Cricetulus griseus: one gene and its partners. The protein of the gene in region 1 interacts with the protein of each later gene in a pairwise test. Links are inferred from orthologs where the notes say so. Each region holds a gene or a part of one and is shown on either strand. Other genes may lie near its edges.

Region 1 (3,741 bases):
CAATCCACACTAAACTCTCCTCAGGAGGGAAGAAGGGCCTGTTTGTGGCTTGACACATCAGGATGAACACATTCTATCAATTCCAGAGAAAGGCCCAAGACAATAAAATCATCTGGGGTAGGGATGTTCCGAATCCACTTCAGGGCTGTGTACAGCAAGAGCTCTACCTAGTGGTTTTCAAGATTCTGAATATACTACAGCTGTTCTTCCTCAACCCCACACCTCCCTGGAAATACTTGGAATTAGAAGCTGCTCCACCCTTTTCCCATGCTCCCAAGGCAGTCCTAGGAACCACAGACCACCACAGAAACAGAACTTTTCAACCACAGGCCAGCCACCACACTGAATGCCTTTTGCAGAAAATTCCCAGAAACAAAAGCTGACAAAATGAACAAGGGGCTGCAGCAGGCTAGGTACCTAGCATCCTCTTGGTCATGTAACACTTTGCCTTTGTGGACAGGCCTGAGGATGCTTTGCACCAAATGACCGTCCGGCCCAGACTGTGTTCATTCTATCGGTCTCCACCATCAACGTTTTCTATATGAAGCGTACTTCACTTTATACAAGATCCGAACAGAACTTAGGACACACTGATTCAACACGGCGAATCCGCCAAAAACTTTTACCCTCAACCAGTATGAGGCCACACCACTATATCAGGACATCAAGTCCCCATTCCATTACTTGAATTACTTGTCACCTCCACCACCAAACAGCAGTGTGTGTGTGGGGGGGGGGGTGCAGGGCGGACATCCATCCATATTCCTAACAAAGATAGTTGAATGTACATGGGTTTCTAATGAGGACCTTTTAAACTAAGTATCTGAAACTTTCAAAAACAAAACCAAAAATATCTGCGGTAGCTCCCAGGAATGCTCCAGCTCTTCGAGGAGGAAGGCAGACAGTATGATCAGGAGATCTAGAATGGCCAGTGTGGTTATATGTCCACAAAGCCTCTGAGTTGTCACAGAAACCTCGCCTCATTCCCAAAGGAGTTGGAGGCTCTGCTCAGCCTGGCTACACAGTGAGTTAATCCAGGGCTGAAAGGAGACTCTCTCCACTTTGGGGCGATACTTTTGATAGCTATTTCAACACGGCTGGTTCTCTGTTTGACCCTGGGAAAGTTACAGCTCCTGGATCCACACTTTGAACTTTGGCAATTTTTTTTTCCCCTCTTGACAGTTCTAGCTTTAACAATAACCGATCAAAATCAAGCTTGTAACTGAATGTTACTACTCCTATAGTGACTTTGTTTCCACAATTCACAATAAGGACTTTCCTAAAGTTAGGCTACAAGACCAAAGAAACGGAACTAAAACGTAAACCTGCGGCAGCCTGCATCAGAGACTGCGGGGAACGAGCCATCCTTCCAGCCATGCTTTCTCAATTCTGAAGCACGCGGACCTCTCTTAAGGTGCCTGCACTCCCGCTGGTGCCCCTGGTGACAAAGTTTGCCAGGCTTTTGGCGGCACCTCACACAATGGTGGATCTTACTGCAGCGGGATGCTCCAGCCGCACAGGCCCCGGTCTGAGAGGGGCCTGCTGACTCCTGCATCACCTGGACCCCACCTGAGCAACCCAAGTGTGCTAGCTAGCTAGCTAGCATCGCATCCCCGCCTCAGCCAAATCCTTCCTCCGAGAGCCTTTAGAGAGAGAGCTCATTTTTCTAATGCCATGACAGGAGGCCTGCTTTAGGGGCGGGCTCTTCCATCCTTTAGTGGAAAGCACCCACATCTAAAACAAAACAAAAAAAAACAAAACAAAACAAAAACACAAAAACAGTCACTTCTGCAAGAAGCTCCCGCGGGCGAGGCCGACACCTAGGTAGCTCGGCTCTCCCGAATCCCAGGCGGGCGCTCACACTTGGGCCCCGCGGCCCGCGCTCCCGGGTGGCGTGGCGGGACCCACCGCGCCCGCCAGGCCGCGGCCGGAGGAGCCCGGAGGAGCCCGGAGGGAGCCCCGGGGCCGGCGGGCTCCGTCCTCCTCAGTCCTCGGCACCGCTTCCCTTCGCAGCAACACGCGGGGCAGCGACAGCGGGCCGAGCGCTCCCCAAGACGCTACTCCCGGTGGGCCGCGGACACGCGCGACGCGCTGTCACCGCCCGCGGACTCCCGCGGGAAGCCCCACGCGGGCTCGGGCCGCCCCGGAGGGGCCGCGGACCCCGCCGCCATCTTCCTGCCTCGCCGCCCCCGGCCTCGGCCTCGCGCGCCCCCGCCGGCCCCGCGCCCCGCCGCGCCGCGCGCGCGCGCTCCGTGAGCGACGGTTAGGCGCGCGCCTCGAGCAGGCCCAGCGCCGAGGCCCGCCCGGCCGCCTTCCAGAAATTTCCGCGCCCCTGAAATCCCCCCCCCACAACACACTCACACTCACTCACACACACACTCACACAGGAAAACCAGCCGGGCGCGCCCCGCGCAGCGGCCCGCCGCGGCGCCCCCTCCCCAGCGGCGCTCCCTCCCCCGCCCCCGCCCGGGGGCGCGGGTCAAGTGCGGCCCCGGGCACGCCCGCCCGACCACCGCCGCCCGCCGGCCGGGCGGAAGAGCGGCGGCGGAGGCGGCGGCGGCGGCGGCGGCAGCGGCGGCCTCGGCCGGTGTGATTGATAGGGACGGCGGCGGCGGCGAGGGCGGCGCGCGGCGCGGCGGCGGCGCGGCGGCGGCGGCGGAGCGGTTGAGTGACAGCTTACCTGGGTGCCAATCTTCATCACACTGACAAGCGGCTGCAGCAATCGGGACCCGCAGTGCCGCGCCCGCGTCCAACCGTCACGCCGACGCTGGGCCACGCGACACAGCCTCGCTCAATGGGAGGAGGGCGACGCCGACGCGCGCCGCATCAATATGCACCTCGGGGGCGGGGCCTGCAGGCCCCGGGCCCCGCCCCCGCCCAGCGCGGCGGCGGGCGGAGGGCGGGGCGCGGCGGGCGGGGCGAGGCAGGGGCGGGCGGGCGCGGGTGGGGCGGGGCAGAGACCGGTCCCGCCCCGCCGCGCTCCTTCAGCCAGGCCCCACCCAACGGCCCCAGCCCCACCGCGGGTAGCGGCCCGCCCCGCCCCAGAGGCAGAGCTTACCATCTTCATGACTATGCAACGGAGGCGGGGCTCAGGTCGCCGTCGGCCACGCCCCCCTCTGCGCCCGCCTCCGCGTCTGGAGAGGTTTGCCCTGCCGGTTGGAACCGTCTATCTGCGGCTCTGGCGGGGAGTACGGGCCGTACCATCTGAAGACCCGCGATTCCGGGGCCAGCTCCAGCCTGTGCGGCGCCTAAGAATCCAGATTCTGGAGTCGGGTAGGCGCGGGGATCCGCGGGTGGTGCCCCTTTGAGGACTGAGCGCCTGAGGTGTCTGCCCTGGGATCTGGCCCTTGGGTGCTGTCTGCCGAGCTGTTCCGCCACCCACTGACCATGATGTCTGGGCAGTGGCTACGTACTGGCCGCCGGTCCGCTCGTGGCTTCACTGAAAGACAGATGGAGGCCCTCGGTTAGCCTGGCTTGTCTAGGTTCATTTATTTTATCAAGCAGTGGCCACCTGTGTGTGTGTGTGTGTGTGTGTGTGTGTGTGTGTGTGGTGTGTGTGTGTGTGTGTGATCGTTGCTTTGCATCCACGCACAGCTTAAAGAGAGCGGTTCTGCTAACCCCACACTCCTCAGAAGGAACCTTGTACGCCAAGACTGGCAGCTGGAAGAGCCATGGGGTAGACCCCCCCATTCACAGCTCAGAGGACTTGCCCCTGTGTCCTCAGGGCTCCACAGATCCCGG
Region 2 (3,741 bases), on another chromosome or scaffold:
TTTATCATTAAAAAAAAATCCATGGCATGAATGAAAAGCAAATAAAGTTTTCAAGATTTACTAATAATTATCTTCTCTGCATTACTTTTAGGAATATGAATAGTACCTATTTAAACAGAGTATAACTCAACTACCAGCCTAACAATTCTAGACAGTTTGCAATTATTTGTAAACTCAATTTAAAAAGTCAAACATTTAACTATTAAAACAACATCAGTTGGAAAATGCGATATACTGGACTTGACATTTTCTTCTTTCCCTTAACTTACAAAAGAACAACTTTAAAAAGTGATACACCCAACACATACAACAATAAATAAATTAATGGTAAAGCTTAATTAAGGGAGTTTCTTGCCATATAGGAAAGATAACTAAACACAAACTAACACATGTGAATTATATCCCTACTTCTACTTTAGCTTTACCATTAAGTCAAAAGTAAAAATACCTTTAATAGAAAAAATCTGACAAGAAAATTAAACCAAAATGAACTGCCAAAAATTTCCCTAATCATGTATCTGCAATTTTCATGCTAGCATGTCTGCAAAACCTATCATCTCATCTACTCCTGCCTTGAACATCAAAATTGTTTCATCTGTATCTGTGGACATTTTTCTTTATATATTGAAACTCAGTTACAACTGTTAACAGTTGCAAGATAGACAATTTTATATAAGTACTCATTAGTATGATACATTGTATACGCCTAAGCACATCATTTTCCTTCCTGAATTCTTAAAAGTAATCTTCCCCACCTAAAACTGACATAATACTGAGGTCTGTTCTGCTGTATCTTCTACCACTAGAACCAAAGCTTAAGGCTGTCTAAGTAAAACAAAGTTCTGGTGATGCCTCTCACGGGCACCTGGTCCCTGGAAGTCTCCCATTGCTCCCTTTAAAAACTGCTACACAAACAAGGCAAAAAGAAATAGAGGGCGGCTGACTAGAGCCCCCTCCCTGACTTCAGTCAGGGGCTGCCGCCTAAAGAACTGCGAACCAGCCCCTTTCACACATATACTTCATTTTGCATCAAAGCAGAATTGAGAAATAGACTCCAGATTTATTGCAGTTTTTTTCTCAAGATCAGGAGGTGGGAAGCAGAGAATGATCAAAGATGGCGGTGCCCAAAAGCAGCAGCTCTCAACTGGTGAGTCCAACGAGTAGATCTAACCCCACCTGGGGGGAAGGGGGATCTCCAGGCCCACTGCTGGCAGCAGTCTTACCTGTTTTCTCTTTGATCTCACACAAGACGCTGAAGAGCGCCGGTTTCATTCTGTGACAGTTCAGAGCATGTTTCCTAAAAAACAAATAGCAAAACACAAAGGTGTTAGCATCACCTATTGGAATAATATGGCGACTTCCTAAGTTAGACCAAAGATTTAAAACTGGGCCCCGGGGTGGAAAAGCTCTTTGGAACCGCGGGAAGTCAACAAAAACTCAAGTTGACTAGTTCGCGACTGGAGGCAAGCTCTAGCGGTGAGAACTCCAGCCCAAAAGCAGCGCGACCCATATGCTGGGCCGACACATCAGCCTCGGCGAACGCAGGGACGACCCGTGCTGGGGGCTCCGCTCCAGGGATCGCGGCGGGGACCCCGGGGACCGGGGCGGCACGGAGGGGAACCCCACGCCAGAGCTCCGCAGGGGAGCGGGCGCGGAGGCCGGCCGCCGCCAGATAATCTGCGGATGACAGCTCCGCAAAGTTTGCAAAGCTGCCCTCCCTCCTAGAGAGAACTTGGCGCTCCGCACCCGGACCTGCGGGGAAGCCGCGGGTCACCCCGGGCCCGGCCGAGGGGAGTGGACGCCGTGAGTCTGGGCCGGCAGAGAAAGTTGCACTTCTCTGCGGCATGGCCCGGGGCTGGCTGGGACGCAGAGCGCAACGAGTCCGGGCGGGAGGTTTAAATCCGAGGAGGGGGCCGGGCAGCAGGGCACGGACGAAGCACCGACTGAGGCTGTCCCGAGCCCGGAGAGCAACTTTGCCCGCTCGATGGGGGCACCGCGAGTGCCCGGCAGGCCCGCCCTGGCAGGCGGAGAAAGTTCCCGCCCGCCACTGAGGCCCCGGTCCAGGGAGCCACCCGGGACCCGAGCCCGGCTCCCGTACACACACAAAAGATGCTTAATGAGACGACACCAACTTTGCTTGCGCCTCGTCCAAGCTCTGGTCGGTGATGGTCATGATCTGGTGGAGGATGTCGCCGATGTCCTGCTTCCTGCCGTCGCCGTCCGCCCCTTCGTGGCCGTGAGGGGGAGGCGGCAGAGCCATGCCCCCCTGGACCGAGTGGCCGGCGAGGTTCACCCCGGCCAGAGTCTGCAGCATCCTGGATTGATCATCCATCCCGCCGCGCGCGGGCGGGAGCGGGCGGCGGAGGCGAAGGCTGAGGCGGCGGCGGCGGCGGCGGCGGTGGCGAGGGAGGAGAAGAAAGAGGGGGAGGGGGAGGGGAGGCGGCCGCGCGCTCCCGCCCGCGGGGGAGGGCGGCCGGCCCGGCGAGGCCGCGACCGAGGGGGACGCGGACCGGCGTCCGGCTCCGGCTTCCGCCGCGGCGGAGACTGAGGACAGCGGCGGGCGGAAAGCGGCGCGCTCGCGCGGCAACTGGCCGAGGCGGAGGCGGGCGGCGGTGCCCGCTGCCCTCACGCGGCCGCCGCGCCGCCTCCTCAGCGCCCGCGCCGCGCCGGGCGGGCCCCGCGAACTTGGTCCTCAGCGCTAGCCGAGTTGTCGGGACGCCGCGGCCGCCGCCGCCGCGGCCCGCGCCAGCCTGACGGTCCCCTCCCCTCAGCGGCCCGCCGCCGCCTCAAGCTGGCGGGATCGAGCACCGGCCGGCCCCGGGGAGGGAGCGGCGGCGGCGCGGCGGCGACGAAGGAGGGAGGAGGCCGACGGGCGGGCCGCGGGGCGACGAGGGGCGGAGGAGGAAGTTTGGGGGCGGCCGTCGACGCGGCGGGGGGCGCGGAGCCCGATGGAGGGCCCGGCGGGCGCACGCCGGGGACAGCAGATGGATGAGGCGGGAGAAGTCGCCGCCGACCTCCGGGAGCGCGCACCCAGCCAGCAGCCGCCGCGGACCGGGGCTCGAAGGCCGCTCGGCTGAGGGATTGACAGGCTGCCAGTGCCACTCACTCACTGCGGCGCCAGGGCCGGGGGGAGGGGCGGGGGCCAGCGAGAGGGCGGGGGAGCGCTCCGGATGCCCCGCCTCCGGGGCGGGGTCTGCGCTCATTGGTCCTTGCACCTCCCGCCGCCGCCACAGGCCCCGCCCCCGAGGCTGGGACCGTCCCCTCTGGCCTCGGTAGTGGGGCGCGAGAGAGCGCGCCCGGGAATCCCATGCCTCGTCGCGCCCGCGCTCCGCAGATGGACAGCCCCGACCGGCAAAGTGGGGCCTCCCGGCTTCTACTCCTTTCCTATCATTAACAGCTAGGGATCCGGAGGTGGTATATGGGGGCCGGGATAGTCTCCCCAAAGCCAACCGCGTGGTCACCCATTGCGTGAGGTGAGCTTCACGCCTCGGACAGTGCCTGGTACACTTTCCCGCTCTTCCTGTCAAGAGGTGGTACCCTCTGGGCACAAGGCCGCGAGCCCGGGACCAATCGTTTTGCTTTCAACGCCGAACGAGGCGGGACAGAGTCAAGAAAGGGTTGTCCCAATTGGAGCGTTCGAAAGTCCTGAGCTGAGACCGGGAAAGAGGATCCCAAAGCCCCGCCCCTCCCGCGGTCGCCATAGTAACCCAGAAGGCAGTGCTAGGAGTTGGAGCCAGGTCT
Region 3 (3,741 bases), about 29 Mb from region 1:
GGGGCAAGTACCCTAACCTTGAAAACGAGCAAGGTAGGGTGGACACGACTCCCCAAGACCGTTCAAGAGTCTCTATCCTGAGCTGTCAAGCTACTCAACGGGGTGTGAGGACTGAGGCCTGCCCCTCCTGCCTAGCAAGAAAAAGGGGAAAGATTAAGACAACCGCCCAGCACTGGCACCCCAAGCCCCAAGGCCGAGGAGCCCAGAGGCCCTGAAGCGAACCTCAGCCCCACCCACACACCCTGCTGCTGCTGCTGCTGAGTCTGCCCGATGTGTTGGTTGTGTGAATAAACTTAATTCCCCTCTGCACTGAAGACTGGTATCTGGGGGTGGGTGGCTGGGTGTGCAAGGTGGGTCGGTGAGGCCTGGGGCAGCCGCTCTCCGCGAGCTGGCCGGAGGCCAAGTCCCCTCCCTGGCTGGTTAATTACTGGCTCATTAAGCAGCGGCTGGAGACCTCCCTAATCATCCCCCCAGCCCCCAGTCTCCCGGTTTTAATTAAGTCGAACAGGGAGGGGAGTCATTAGAACAAGAAATATGAACCGAGCCGTCGGAGAGCATTCCAGCGGCCGGAGTCCGCGCCACCCCGACGGTGGGCTCGGAACCCGGGTGGCCCACGCCGCCCCCGGCCCCGCCCCGCCCCGCCCGGCTCCGCCCCGCCTGGCTCGGCTCGCACGCTCGCACGCTCGCGCCGCCGCCCGCCCCGGGGCCAGCCTGGCCTCTCCCGCCCGGGCCGCCCGGCCGCTCCCCGCCTCCACCCGCCGCCGCCGCCGCCGCCGCCGGCCGCCCGCCGCCCGGCCTGCGTGTCCCCGCCCCCGGCTCCTCCCCGTTCCTCCCCTCCTCCCCTCCTCTTCCTCCCGCTCCCCTCCCCCAGCCGCCTCCCTCGCTCCCCCTGCTCCCTCCTCCCTCCTCTCGCACACACACCCCCGCTTGGGCCTCCTCTCTCTCTCTCTCTCCGGCTCCATTTTCTCCGCCGCCGGGGGCCGGGGTCTCCTGTGGGGGTGCCCAGGCGGCACCCCAGGCCTCCCCTCCAGCGCCGGGGTGAACCCCCGGAGGGAGCCGGGAGGCGGGTTGCCGGGCGGGGTTGGGGCGGAGGGAGCAGCGGCCCCGGCGAGTTTGGGGGGGAAGTCGCCGGCGGCGGGAGGGGCGAGCAGGGAGGGGGCCTCAGGGCCCCCCCCAGCGATGGACGAGCGGCTGCTGGGGCCGCCCCCTCCGGGCGGGGGCCGGGGGGGCCTGGGGCTGGTGGGTGGGGAGCCCGGGGGCCCTGGCGAGCCTCCCGGTGCCGGAGACCCCGGTGGGGGAGGTGGGGGGGTCCCGGGAGGCCGAGGGAAGCAAGACATCGGGGACATTCTGCAACAGATAATGACCATCACCGACCAGAGCCTGGACGAGGCCCAGGCCAAGTGAGTGCCCCCACCCCGGGACCCCGCTCACAGCGCTGGGTCCGCTGCAAGCCCCCTCCCCCAGGGCCCGCTCTCGACCCGGCAACTCTTTCTTTCCTTAGTTCTAGTGGTCTCTCCAAGCCGGCTTTGCTCCTAGGCCCTAAACCTCACACAGGGAACCCTAGCTGGCCTCACTCTCTCCTAACCTCTTGCTGACCCCTACACTCCACACCGGCCCCTCTCCTGGCTCCCAGACTCAGAAACTGTCAGCCCACCCGTCTGCGCTAACTATCCAGCTAGCCCACCGCCCCTTTCTCTGGGGATCCAGGGTCTCCACACACTCCCTTCCACCGCGGTTGGGGCCTCCAGAAGTCTTCACAGCCTTTCCCTCTGCCTGGCTCACACACTCTCCTGAACTCCCGGGTCGGGGGGCACCCCACACTGGGCCCCCGGCCACCCTGTACTGACTGTTCCATCTCGGCCTCTATTTCCCTGACTCCAAAACCTGCCCCGTCACCTTTATTTCTTCAGCCATCTCTCGATCCTCTCTCCACCTTTTTGCTTGAACCGTTTCCCTTGGCCTCAGCCCGCCCATAGTGACTTTAGCCCCATTGCCTGCATCTTCTGCCTCCCCTGGCCAGCCGCTTCCAGGAGCTAGGGCAGCTGGTCTCTCCTCAGGAACTACCCCTCCAGCCGCGTCCCACCCCCATCCAACTTCCCACCTCCACAGATTTTATGCCCCCACCTTGTCCCCTGGCAGCCTCTCCTCTCCTGGCCCCTGAACTCTTCTCCTCCCTTTCCTCCCAAGGAAACACGCCCTAAACTGTCACCGAATGAAGCCTGCTCTGTTCAGTGTCCTGTGTGAAATCAAGGAGAAAACCGGTACGTGGGCGCCCCTCTGGCTCTCACCTCTGGGGACTGCACTCTGCTCGCTGAGGGCTCAGAGTTTGACGCCGCCGTGAGGAAAGTGAGACCCGGGGAGGCTGCTCGGAAAGGAGAGGGGACGGAACCGAAGCCTGGAGGCCTGGGCCTTCGAGGGACTCTCGAAGCCCGGAACGCTGGGTGAGGGGATCTGGGGGCCTCACGTGTCCGCTTGCCTCCCGCTAGGCCTTAGCATCCGGAGCTCCCAGGAGGAGGAGCCCGTGGACCCGCAGCTGATGCGCTTGGACAACATGCTCCTGGCAGAAGGTGTGGCTGGACCAGAGAAGGGGGGCGGCTCTGCAGCCGCAGCCGCAGCGGCCGCCGCCTCCGGAGGTGGCGTGTCCCCTGACAACTCCATCGAACACTCGGACTACCGAAGCAAGCTCGCCCAGATCCGACACATCTACCACTCGGAGCTGGAGAAGTACGAGCAGGTGAGGAGAGGAGGCCCCCTGAGCCAGAGACGTGCACTCTGGAGGCCGCCCCAAGCCACAGGCCCCTCACCGGCCCACCCGCCCCTGCAGGCATGCAATGAGTTCACGACCCACGTCATGAACCTGCTGAGGGAGCAGAGCCGCACTCGCCCCGTGGCCCCCAAGGAGATGGAGCGCATGGTCAGCATCATACATCGCAAATTCAGTGCCATCCAGATGCAGCTGAAGCAGAGCACCTGCGAGGCCGTCATGATCCTGCGTTCTCGCTTCCTGGACGCCAGGTGGGGCTCAGGGACCCCTGAGCCCGGCCCCAGCACCCGGCTGCCTCCCATACCTCTCCAGGGCTGCGGGGCTCCCATGTTGCCCGACGGGGACACGCTATGACGACGGTGCTTCCCGGACTCCCGTGGCGCACTCATCTCTCCTCTCTCTTTGTAGACGGAAACGCCGCAACTTCAGCAAACAGGCCACCGAGGTCCTGAATGAGTACTTCTACTCCCACCTGAGTAACCCTTATCCCAGTGAGGAGGCCAAAGAGGAGCTCGCCAAGAAGTGTGGCATCACCGTCTCTCAGGTACTCTGCTGGGGGCGGGCGCGGGGCGGCGAGTAACGGGCTGAGAGTTCTCGGGTGTTCTTGGGGAGGGGGTCCTGGAGAAAGGGGTTCTGCCTGACCCTCTCTGCCCAACACTGCAGGTTTCCAACTGGTTTGGTAACAAACGAATTCGCTACAAGAAAAATATCGGGAAGTTCCAAGAGGAGGCAAATATCTATGCTGTGAAGACCGCTGTGTCAGTCGCCCAGGGGGGCCACAGCCGCACCAGCTCCCCAACGCCCCCTTCCTCTGCGGGTGAGCCCCCTGCCATTCCAGCTGGTTGATTTGATGCAGACAGCAAGGAGGACTTTTGGGGGTGATGAGGGCAAGGGAAGGGGCCCTTAGTGGGTGGTCAGGGGAGGTTCCGAGCAGCCTGACCTGAGGGTGGGACACTTCTCCACGTGCACTCAGTAGC

What was found.
Region 2: the proteins of Pknox1 (region 1) and Pbx3 interact in a two-hybrid assay, tested with the Homo sapiens proteins (2 studies listed by BioGRID and IntAct). The link is inferred for Cricetulus griseus from reciprocal best matches to the Homo sapiens genes PKNOX1 and PBX3.
Region 3: the proteins of Pknox1 (region 1) and Pbx2 interact in binary tests that used the Homo sapiens proteins (3 or more experiments, as listed by UniProt). The link is inferred for Cricetulus griseus from reciprocal best matches to the Homo sapiens genes PKNOX1 and PBX2.

What each region holds. Positions count from the first base shown.
Region 1 is NW_023276806.1:259,896,989-259,900,729, reverse strand, and holds the start of Pknox1 (homeobox protein PKNOX1), read right to left. Parts: upstream 2,836-3,741; 5' UTR 2,681-2,835; intron 1,729-2,680; exon of another isoform or gene 1-1,728. UniProt on the Homo sapiens protein: Activates transcription in the presence of PBX1A and HOXA1.
Region 2 is NC_048599.1:146,090,124-146,093,864, forward strand, and holds the start of Pbx3 (pre-B-cell leukemia transcription factor 3), read right to left. Parts: upstream 2,426-3,741; 5' UTR 2,333-2,425; coding exon 2,133-2,332; intron 1,894-2,132; exon of another isoform or gene 1,753-1,893; intron 1,298-1,752; coding exon 1,224-1,297; intron 1-1,223. Other genes in the region: basic proline-rich protein-like, read right to left, coding at 2,650-3,073, 3,107-3,309. UniProt on the Homo sapiens protein: Transcriptional activator that binds the sequence 5'-ATCAATCAA-3'.
Region 3 is NW_023276806.1:231,203,873-231,207,613, forward strand, and holds the start of Pbx2 (pre-B-cell leukemia transcription factor 2), read left to right. Parts: upstream 1-869; 5' UTR 870-1,179; coding exon 1,180-1,400; intron 1,401-2,187; coding exon 2,188-2,261; intron 2,262-2,486; coding exon 2,487-2,734; intron 2,735-2,824; coding exon 2,825-3,015; intron 3,016-3,172; coding exon 3,173-3,308; intron 3,309-3,427; coding exon 3,428-3,581; intron 3,582-3,741. UniProt on the Homo sapiens protein: Transcriptional activator that binds the sequence 5'-ATCAATCAA-3'. Activates transcription of PF4 in complex with MEIS1.